Coturnix japonica: one gene and its partners. The protein of the gene in region 1 purifies or fractionates together with the protein of each later gene. This does not show direct contact. Links are inferred from orthologs where the notes say so. Each region holds a gene or a part of one and is shown in the gene's direction. Other genes may lie near its edges.

The links. The genes of interacting proteins can lie anywhere in the genome.
Region 2: the proteins of FHL2 (region 1) and CNOT1 purify together in Homo sapiens (affinity purification with mass spectrometry; 3 studies listed by BioGRID and IntAct, with this or other methods). This does not show direct contact. The link is inferred for Coturnix japonica from reciprocal best matches to the Homo sapiens genes FHL2 and CNOT1.
Region 3: the proteins of FHL2 (region 1) and EYA3 purify together in Homo sapiens (affinity purification with mass spectrometry; 3 studies listed by BioGRID and IntAct, with this or other methods). This does not show direct contact. The link is inferred for Coturnix japonica from reciprocal best matches to the Homo sapiens genes FHL2 and EYA3.

Annotation. Positions count from the first base shown.
Region 1 is NC_029516.1:121,881,754-121,884,948, reverse strand, and holds part of FHL2 (four and a half LIM domains protein 2), read left to right. Parts: intron 1-953; coding exon 954-1,128; intron 1,129-2,297; coding exon 2,298-2,467; intron 2,468-3,195. UniProt on the Homo sapiens protein: May function as a molecular transmitter linking various signaling pathways to transcriptional regulation. Negatively regulates the transcriptional repressor E4F1 and may function in cell growth.
Region 2 is NC_029526.1:1,180,039-1,183,693, forward strand, and holds part of CNOT1 (CCR4-NOT transcription complex subunit 1), read left to right. Parts: intron 1-51; coding exon 52-231; intron 232-684; exon of another isoform or gene 685-820; intron 821-1,209; coding exon 1,210-1,326; intron 1,327-1,613; coding exon 1,614-1,724; intron 1,725-2,351; coding exon 2,352-2,429; intron 2,430-2,735; coding exon 2,736-2,913; intron 2,914-3,384; coding exon 3,385-3,515; intron 3,516-3,655.
Region 3 is NC_029538.1:1,391,262-1,394,916, reverse strand, and holds part of EYA3 (eyes absent homolog 3), read left to right. Parts: intron 1-1,129; coding exon 1,130-1,224; intron 1,225-3,223; coding exon 3,224-3,267; intron 3,268-3,655. UniProt on the Homo sapiens protein: Tyrosine phosphatase that specifically dephosphorylates 'Tyr-142' of histone H2AX (H2AXY142ph). 'Tyr-142' phosphorylation of histone H2AX plays a central role in DNA repair and acts as a mark that distinguishes between apoptotic and repair responses to genotoxic stress.

The DNA of each region.
Region 1 (3,195 bases):
AGTTTTAAACTTTTATTTTTCATTTTGCTTTTAGGAAAGTCTGAGATTTTATGGTCAGAAATTTGGGTTGTTTCAAAAGGTTTAGCAGATGGGCAGATACTCGTAATGATCTGAGCTCCACTTTGGTCTCCATAAGACTCTGGTAAAACTCTACGTAGCCTAATTGTGGAACATTTGCAAAGACACGATCTATCCCTGTAAGTCACAGGACTGGTTTTCACACGCGTCTTTTTTTGTTGTTATATTTTGTTTTAATTAATACAAGCGTCACTGGGGAGATATTTTAAACACCTATGTGCTCTAAGGTGTTAATTCCTTGGTTAAGAGTGTTTTGGATCAGTGGCTGCAGGTACACTGTGGTCTCTCATCTCCCAGAGTGTTCAGTCACCATCAAGGCATCCAATTCTCTTTTGAAACATACATCCGTAAAATTAAGAACAAAGACTTGGTTAAAAACTAATTTCAACGTGCACACAAAGAAAAAAAGCATCAGGCCAATTTCAACCTTGGTTTAAACCTGGCAAAACATCCATATGAGACTGGAAAAAGGATAAATGCTCAGAAAGAAGAAACTATGAAATGACCTGGAAATTGGCAATAACTGAGAAAAGTATATGAAGTACATTATATCCCTACAGTTAACAAAATCTAATCTGAATCAAAACTAGGACTTCATTCTCGAAGGAAATATCTAAATGAAACTATTTCTTCCTCTGCTGAATCGAAATTGAATTTCAGCTGACCTGGAATTGAAAGAGGACTGATAGTTGTCATCAGCTACTTTTGGCAGCCATGGTAAAATAGACTCACCTGCATCAGAACATGCTATTTTCCTGTGCCATGCAAATTAGCCTTAATTTCTGTCTGATTCAGATCTGCATGTTTGCATTCTCTGAACTTCGAACTGAGCAAGTTATTCATTCTCTTTACTCTGTGGTTTTTAATTCCTGCAGGATCTGTCTTACAAGGAGCGCCACTGGCATGAAACCTGCTTCCACTGCTTCCAGTGCAAGAATTCATTGGTGGACAAACCTTTTGCTGCAAAAGAGGAACATCTACTTTGTACTGAATGCTACTCCAATGAATATTCATCAAAGTGTAATGAGTGCAAGAAGACAATTATGCCAGGTTAGGATACTTAACGTTTGGGGCAGAAGAAAGTTCATGTTTAATATCAAACCTACTCTCAGCAACAATTGTGACCTTAAATTTCTCTGCTGAATCATGGTGAACTTCATAAAGCACAGCTGGTGATACTTTCTGCAATCAGAACCCAGTTTTCAGAATGAACTCAGTCCCGTAAGAGCTCATTTACAGAACAGAACTCTATTATTTGAGTTACAGATTGATAGGTAGTAATGGAGTTGAGATTCAGTGACTAAGAGATCCCCTTCTTCTCTTACAATTCAAAACAGAATAAACCAATTTTTAAAAACCTCTGCAGCAGCTACAGGGTTTTCAGCAGATTACTCAATATACCCTTGATTTAATAAAGCATTTTCATGACAAGCTTATTAAATGCTAAGTAATTACAGGCTTGATCTTTCAGTCCTGCAAACTGAATTCCCACCAGCTTCAAACTAGCAGGTAACAAACGGGATTCCCCATGCCTTGTGTTTTACTGATAACACTATTCCGAAAATAGGGATTAGCTTAAAACATGGAAATACAATTCTAGAGAATCCCAAGAAAATGTGTCCCCATCTTTTCCCAGAACGTCCTTCCTTGGAGGACTGACTCGTGTGCACCATGTGCACACAATTCATAAAGGGTGTCCATTAATAAAATGTCTCACAAACACTTGAGCATGTAAGAAACAAGCAGAGAGATGGTTAATGGTGCACAAGTCGGTCCTTTAAAAATATGTATATATTGGAGTATGCCTTTGGGCAGAACTTAATGAGACCAAAGAAAAAAAATAAAATTATGCTACTAGTAAACGAAGAATTAATATTTGACAAAGGGAGAATGGTAAAACTTCATCCTGCAGAGACAAATTATTACAACTTTTCATAATTAGCCAATACTTTATCACCTTGTCAGCCTTCTAACCACTTAACATCATGTCAGCCTTCTAAAAAGTCACCAAAGCTTTTATTGTTAGCAGAAAATGCCTCTCTTCTTTTTAGGAAAACCACTTACTCTCTAAAAACTCAAAGCAACACCCAATTCCATGCAAAGCCACTCCCTCATAGCTGCACTATTTATTTTCCATCAGCCAGCTGTCATGTAAACAAGAGTTACAAAAAGCATTAGTATCAGCCATAAATTCTACTTACATTCTGGTCTCATTACAGGTACTCGGAAGATGGAATACAAAGGCAACAGCTGGCACGAGACCTGCTTTATCTGCTACCGCTGCCAGCAACCAATTGGGACAAAGAGTTTCATTCCTAAAGACAATCAAAATTTTTGTGTTCCCTGCTACGAAAAACAGTTTGCCATGCAGTGTGTCCAGTGCAAGAAGGTACTGCCTTTGATCTATTTACCTATAATATTGGGGATTTAATTTCATCACATTTAAAGTACAACTATGTACAAAAAGTAAAAATCCCATATTTTTTTTTCTGTGTTAAAAGATTGGAAGACAATTGAGTTTTAGAGATGATAGAGTTGAAACTCCTATTCTGCACAAGGGACAAAAGTTATGTCATTGAGAATTCTTACCCAAGGTTAAAGTTCCCTTTGTATTGAAAACATACAGAGGACATGTTTAAGAAAGAAAACAAGCAATAAAAAACCTGCCTGCACTGGAATAACCTCCTATCTCCATGTAATCCATCATATACCACACACTCAAATGTTTTAGCTGGAAGGGAGATGAGCTAACACTTTTTATTATTTAATATTCTAATGAAGTTGAAGATAGAGAAATAAGCTTCCAGCCATCACTTACGCCCACATTGGTGGAGTCGCCATCACTGGCAGTGTTCAAGAAGCATCTGGATAGGGAGCTAGGAGATATGGTTTAGGGGTTTTCTGTAGGTATGGTAAAGGGAGGACAGTTGGACAAGATGATCTTATAGGTCCTTTCCAACCTTGTGATTCTATGATTACCAGAACTTCCTTTTGTGTTCACCACGTGCCCCAGTTCGCATTACTTTCACAGCAGCCCTCATACAGAGGAAAGAGGTAAAGACAGATGAATACACATATTAGACAGCACACCACAAGACTGACTTCCCAGGGAATCCC
Region 2 (3,655 bases), on another chromosome or scaffold:
TCATCTCATGTTCTTTTTTGTGGTGTGCTTTTTTCTCTGCTATGGAGACAGGTTGAAGAACTGAAGGAAACAGTGAAAGAAGAGTTCATGCCTTGGGTATCACAGTATCTCGTGATGAAGAGAGTCAGTATTGAGCCAAATTTTCACAGCTTATATTCAAACTTCCTCGACACTCTTAAGAATCCAGAATTTAATAAAATGGTTCTGAATGAGACTTACAGAAATATCAAGGTGAGTGCACAAGTTCTAATACTTGGGTAAGTTTTAGCATTTAGAGGTATGCTGTTCTCAGGCCATTTTCTTCCTGTGCTGCTTATCTTCAGAAATGGAGTATCTTGGGAAAGTCTACTTCAGCTTAAGCTAACATCTTACTGTATGAATACTGGGATTGTTTTGTTTTCAGTCAGAAAGGATTAAGAGGGTATATCTGCATTTAAGTCCATATTTGTATGAGGCCTGCAAATTGCGGCAGGGAAAATTTCTTTGTGGTCTAGTTTGTGTGGGAGAGTATCAGGATGAGAACCACACTCTGCTGTTTTAGCTGAAAAATAGAGGATAGGGAGCTAGAGTAAACAGAAGTGTAACAACTAAAAATCATTAGAGGACTAAATTAACGTGCATGCTGAAGAGGTCAAGAAGAAATAGCCCTGATGAGGTGAGTGAGTGAATCAAATCTGTCAAGGAAGCACTATTTTTAAACCTGTTGGTGGATTTTCTTGGCCACCGTGGGTTACGCTGTAGTGCAAAAGAATCTCCTGGCTCTTTAGAGTGTGGTTGGCCTTCTGTTTGGCTGATGCTGCTCTGAAGCCAAGGGACAAAGCTAATAGTAGAATGCTAGAGCATGTTTTAGGTCTTGAAGTAAGAATTAAATCGTTTCCCAGGAAATGCCTTCTGGTCTGCAATGAAGTGTTAAGAAGCATTGTCTTCCCAAGTTACATTTTGCTGGGTAGCCTAGCTGCCTTATCAGTAACTGGAAAGCTCTGGGAAGGCGTAATCCTTTCTGATCCCCTCCAAGTAAAGGAATTTTGAAGTCATTACAAGGCAGATTGGTGGGATGCTACCTTGAGGGTAAAGGCTGCTCTTGACTATCTCTGTAATGGGACTGGAGCTCAGAACTTGGTGTTCTGCTTCAGGTCAGAGCAGCTGTTTGATTTGGTGTTGTGTCTGATTTATCTTCCAGTTGTTGCTTGAGTTGTTTTTTTCCATTAGGTGCTACTGACATCAGATAAGGCTGCAGCCAACTTCTCTGACCGTTCCTTGTTGAAGAACCTTGGTCACTGGCTGGGAATGATTACACTGGCTAAAAATAAGCCCATCTTGCACACAGTAAGCTTCTGTCTTCACAGACTTGCTTGACGCAAACTACTGTGGTATTATTCAGCAGCATAGGCTGTTTTGGAAATGCTATCACCAAAATGAAGGGGGTAATATTACGTCAAAATATCCATCTGTGAATCTTTGTTCAAATGCAAGATCACTCTTTAGCATTCCGTAAAACTCTGTTTTGCCATTATATCCTATAAGAAAATAACATGTCAATGGAATTTCTGCAGTGGTCTTGTTTTTTTCTTTCTGCTTTCCTACCCTTTTTAATTGTTGATGGTGTTTTTCAGGATTTGGATGTGAAGTCACTACTACTGGAAGCGTACGTTAAGGGACAGCAGGAATTGCTTTATGTAGTACCATTTGTTGCCAAAGTCTTAGAATCCAGTGTCAGGAGTGTGGTAAGTGACTACATTGGGGCTGTTACTGCTCAAGTGGCAACACAAGCATTGCAGAAATTAAGTAGTGCTTCTCATTAAACCCAATGAACTTCATGTGTAGTGGGGGGTGTAAAGGGATATCACGGCTTCAAGTTAGTTCCATTTTGAGATAAAGTACTTGTCTGGTTGGGTTTTTTGTTCTGTTTTTTTTTTTTGGGGGGGGGGGGTCCATCCTAAACAGATGATGTTGGCTGAACTGTACTGTAGTATCCCCAGACACAGACCTCTGTTGAGAAACAAAAGGATGCCACTGGAGGGGTTCTAGGATCTATTTCTTATTTGGGTGGATTTATTTCCTTCCACCCTCAACATGCGTGTTTTGTCTCTGATGAGCTCTCTTTAACTCTGCTTGGCTAAGCAACTGATCTCTCAGAAGGGTCTAGTAATTGTGCTTCCAGTTTGGCGTTCAGCTTGCTTGTTCATCTGCTTTCTCTCAATACTAAAAGCAGCTTTGCCTGCAGCTGTGTAAACTTCAGTTTCCCCTGTCTGTATGTGCATGTAATGGTTCAGTTTCAAAATGTATTAGTCTTAAGGGAACTAAACCATTCCAGACCACTGTGTAATGCTGCTTTGCATTTTCTCTTGCAGGTTTTCAGGCCTCCAAACCCATGGACAATGGCTATTATGAATGTTTTAGCTGAGCTGCATCAAGAACATGATCTAAAAGTAAATTTTCTGTTTTGCTGTACCTATTGAGCTTGAGGTTTTCTTGACAATACCAGTCAGAAACATGTTGTGAGGGACCAAATTTCACTTCTCACTTCATTGTGTGAGGAACTGGGCATTGCTAACTTAGTAAGAGCGTGGGTGAGTCTTGATTTCTGTGAGGTTAATGTGCAGGTTGTTTGTCTAACCATCACTTGCTTATGCAAAAGAAAAGACAACATGAGTTAGAACATGAAGCTTGGGTTTAGAACAGCCAGTTTGGGTTTTTTTCCTTGTGACATAACCTAAACTAAAATTGTTGTGCAGTTGAATCTGAAGTTTGAGATCGAAGTGCTCTGCAAGAATCTTGCACTGGACATCAATGAGCTGAAACCTGGGAGCCTCCTGAAAGATAAGGATCGTCTGAAAAATCTGGATGAGCAGCTGTCTGCTCCTAAGAAAGATGTGAAGCAGCCAGAAGAGCTGCCACCCATCACAACCACCAGTAAGTATGCCTCAAATCAAACTCAGAACAGTGCTGTATGAAGTTTAGAAAGACAGGCTTGTAGAGAAGAATTTGAAGCTATCTGCACTGCTGTAACATTACTGAAAGCTTAGAATCACTAAAGTAGTGGTGTAATAGAAGGATGTTAACAGGATTAGGAGATGGGAGAGGAATGGAAGCCATCCCACGGACTAATTCTGCATGTGCTGTGTGTAACTGCTCTTTAGAAGAGAGTGAAGCTGGGAGACAGATTGAGATTGTAGCAGGGTTCAAACCCTGCTGTAACAAACAGCTGCCAAAATGCCCTGAAGTTAACCTGGTGCTAGACACTGTGGAGGTGGGGGGAAAAAAGCTGGGTACCTGTAAGGAAGCATTATGGTCAGAACTCATCACTTAAATGATGTGCGTGCTTCCATTTTAATCACTCACTTTTCCCTAATGGTTAAAATAAGCATTTTTATATTCTTACAGCTGCTTCTACAACTCCAGCTACCAGCACCACTTGTACAGCCACAGTTCCTCCACAGCCCCAGTACAGTTATCATGACATCAATGTGTATTCGTTAGGAGGTTTGGCTCCACATATTACCTTAAATCCAACGGTAAGTGCTGATTTGGTTTACTAAGTGCTCCTACTGCTGACATTGCCACAGATCTTAGCTAGTGGGTTTGGCATTATAGAATTCAAAGCTATTTCTTGGAGTTTTGCTTCTCCTTCTAATAGGGAGGGTGAGTGCTAATA
Region 3 (3,655 bases), on another chromosome or scaffold:
TTTGCTAAAGAACAGCCCTGTCACTCCTCACAAGTCCAGCTGTGCTGCTTAAGCACATCCCTGTCACCCAGAAATGCACGATGCTTCTTCTGGTTGTTCTGCTTGCTTCTCTGTGAGAACACTGAGACATTTTCTGCCCTACCTGCTGTTTCTGGAGCTATAGATTCTCTAGAAGGCAGTGTGACAGTGATGTTTTTTCCATACTGATCAGTTCAGTTTTGGAGTTCAATAAGAAAGTATGCAATGAAACTGTAAAATCAAAGGACAAAGGAGCAGGACCAGACTGATGTGATAGCAAATTCAAACATCGCTGCTATTGGCATTTGTATCCCACACCTGTAGTTATAACCTTTGAATGACGCAGCTTCTTTTCTGTCTTGGGTTTTCTGTATTATCTCTATGGTTAACAGTTAAAACTGAGGGTGAAAGTTGTAATGGTGCCAACGTAGGGGCCAGCTTTGCTGAGTGGGCTCTGGGAAGAGGGGATCCCAGAAGACCAAGTCAAAATATATGGTCAATGGTCAATGAATGCTGGTCTATGGCAACTTTTTGGTGCAGTATATAGGAACTCTGTGCTAAATATGTGACTGGGTTACTGTCTGTTAACTTTTTGGTGCTCATCAAACACCTCTTTTTTGAGGGCTGCAGTTGGAATAATAAACTTTCTTTGTGAACTTGACAGTAAGCAGTGCTGTATGTAAATTCACGTACGCTCTTGTCCTGATTTTGTGTGTGTGTGTGTGTTTGTTATATAAATGTTCTAAATTAAAACAGGTTAGATTGAATCACTCTGTTTACTGACCTAGTAGACCAGACTCGATCATTTAAAGTGTCTTTAAAATCATGGTGCACGTGTCTGATTGACACGTTAGCTTCTGTGGTCAGTATGGTACAAGCAAATGATGTAGAAATGTGCCACGTGATGAAAAATGTCTGTAAGTTGAAGCTTAAAGCTAAATCCCTTGTTTATGAAATCTTTCCGTATATGAATTTTGTCTCTTACTTGCGAGATGGCAACACGAGTTTAGAAAGCTTGTGGGTGGAATATATAACAATTACCATTCTCTGATAGCCTAAATGATAAGTCCCCCCAAAAGTACATAAAGCTATGAACACCTTTTTTTGACAGGCTTTGAAGACTGCCGAGGAGGACACGATTTGAATCATTCAAGCATTAAAATAGTAATACCCATGGAAGAGCCACAAGATTTACCCGAGCAACCAGTAAGTACATTTAAATAATACTCAAGGTGGGCATGTAAAACTAATCAGTGATCTCACGAACTCAGCATGCAGTTATTGTATTTAATAATGGGCAGTAAGGCTGTCCTTTATTAAAGCAGTAATAAAAGGAATGTGTGCCTAAACTCTGTAGTGCTTCTATGTAAAATTATGCCTAGTAATTATCTGTTTTGCTGAGAAAACCAGACCATTTATAATCCTAGAAGAAATTAAAAATCACTGTTTTAATGACAGAATCTGCATGCTGCCTGTTACCTTATAAATAAGTTTTAGTTATTCTTGTGCCTAAGATCTTGAAAAGGTTCCACAACCCTAAGCATGCCATCATCTCTATTGCTGGAGAGCATTATTTACAACCCTTAATTGAACAGGGCACTGATGTAGGTAGGTGTATCTTAAGATAGGAATTGCTGTCCAGACTTCCTAGATATCTGTGATTCTGCCACATTAAAAATACCGATGAGGTTAAATTATTTAAGTTATGCTTTCTGACACAACGTGCAAATCATTATGAGTGTGTGTGCATAAAACACAAGGCTAATCAGCAGAAACAGAATTGGAAGTCTAGATGTCTGCAGGATTTAAACTAAAATAAGAAAGGAAATATCTGTTATTACAGCATTACTTAGCCAAAATTACCTTTATTAACCTTTATTATTCAGGGCATAGGAGATGGAGCACGGCTTGTTTTTGGCACATGAGAGCATTACCTGTAAGCAGACTCTTTAATTGTTTGCTGAAGGTTTTCTATCTAATTTCATTTAGGTACCTTTTGCTGCTCAGTCATTCTGAGGCAGAATTTGAGACTATACTGATCAAAGCTGTATGATGTGATATCATCTTTTCAGCTTTATCACCCAGAACTGATACTGCACAAACTTGTTTTCTTTCTCAAATGATTTTTCTTTTCCTAATAATGGTCATTGCAAACTGTTGGTGACTGAATCTGGAGCCTGTAGGGAAGTCGTCACACTTGGAGTTAAATGTGTTTTACTCCCTCCATTTAGTGTGCATTCTGCTGCCAGGGATGCTAAACAGGCAAGACTTTTGTCCCTATTTTTAGATGCTTTTTCCCCTTTCAGATCTCAATTTAAAGTGGAAAAGTCTGTGTGAGACTCAGTGCTGGAAACCAAATATAAACTTGGGAAGTAAAAAAGTGAAGGAAAGTTTAGAGAGAAGTGACCAAAAGTGACATTTTCCATGACAAAAATAGTTTAAGAAGTGCTATTATTTGGCTTTTACAAGTGATTTCTTGTAGTAATCTCTTATTTGTTGAATGCATTGTGGACACATGTAGTTGATTCTTATGATATTTTATTTAATCCTGGAAGACAGGAAGTGACAAAAGTCTTTTTGCAAGGGCTGATGAACTTGTGTTATGTGCATTGCAGACACCCACAGAGCTGATCTGTTTGGAAGGAGTTCTCATATTGGGCAGTAAATGTGAATGATGGGGAGAACCCTGAGGTGGGAAGGGCTGCAGTGCTGCTGAAAAGACAGAGGAAAAATGGCTGTCAGGTGTTTGGGCTGAAGGTTTTTCTCAACTCAAATTGCCACGGGGATGGTGGTTAAACTCCACATTCCTGACTGGTGTACAGTCCTTTCTTCATAACATTGCTACAGGCAGTAATGCTACCATTGCTTTGGTTGTGTTTGCTTCAGCAACTCATCATCTGGTTGGTTGGGGGTTGTGCTTTCCACTCAGAAATTGGTCTATGAATATCAGTCTGAGTGGAGGTGATCTGACCTGAGGCAGAAGCTGTGTCTTCCACCCTTTTCCCTTTCCTTCCTTTCCCCTTTGAAACTTCTTTTTCTAATGAAAACTTGTTAGTTAGCTGTACAGTTCAATGCAAGGCTTTCTTTTCAACACTAATGCAAACTAAAGTAACCACTGGTGATGTCCTGCTGGAGGTCAGTGTGTGCTGATTCTGCCAAGGACAGCTCTTTTTAGTTGTGCCTCTGAACATTTCTGTCCTTGCAGGTGAAGAAAGCCAAGATGCAGGAATCCCGAGAGCAAAGCTTGAGGTATGTCACTTTGAATTTTATTTTAGTGTGAAGCAATTACTGGTGCTCTTATATTATTATAAGCTTCCATTTTAGCAGCATGCATATTGCTGTATTTGTCAGAGAGATGGGACAAATATAACCCAGTTTTGTGTTGGCTGTAAGAAAAATAAATTAAGCAACCCTTTGGTATTAAACCTGAGTTATATTAGTAGTTAGATTATTATTAAAAAAATAATAATGAAGGGAATGCTTTGACAAGAAGCAGTGAGCAAACAGTGTGAAATTCACCACCTAAATGTTAGAATCTGCTGGAAGCTGCACTTCCAGCCAGCATAAGGTGAGAGGAGCCCAGCCTAGGAGTGCCTCTGCTCTCCTAGGTGGTAAGTGATGGAAGATAAGAGCACTT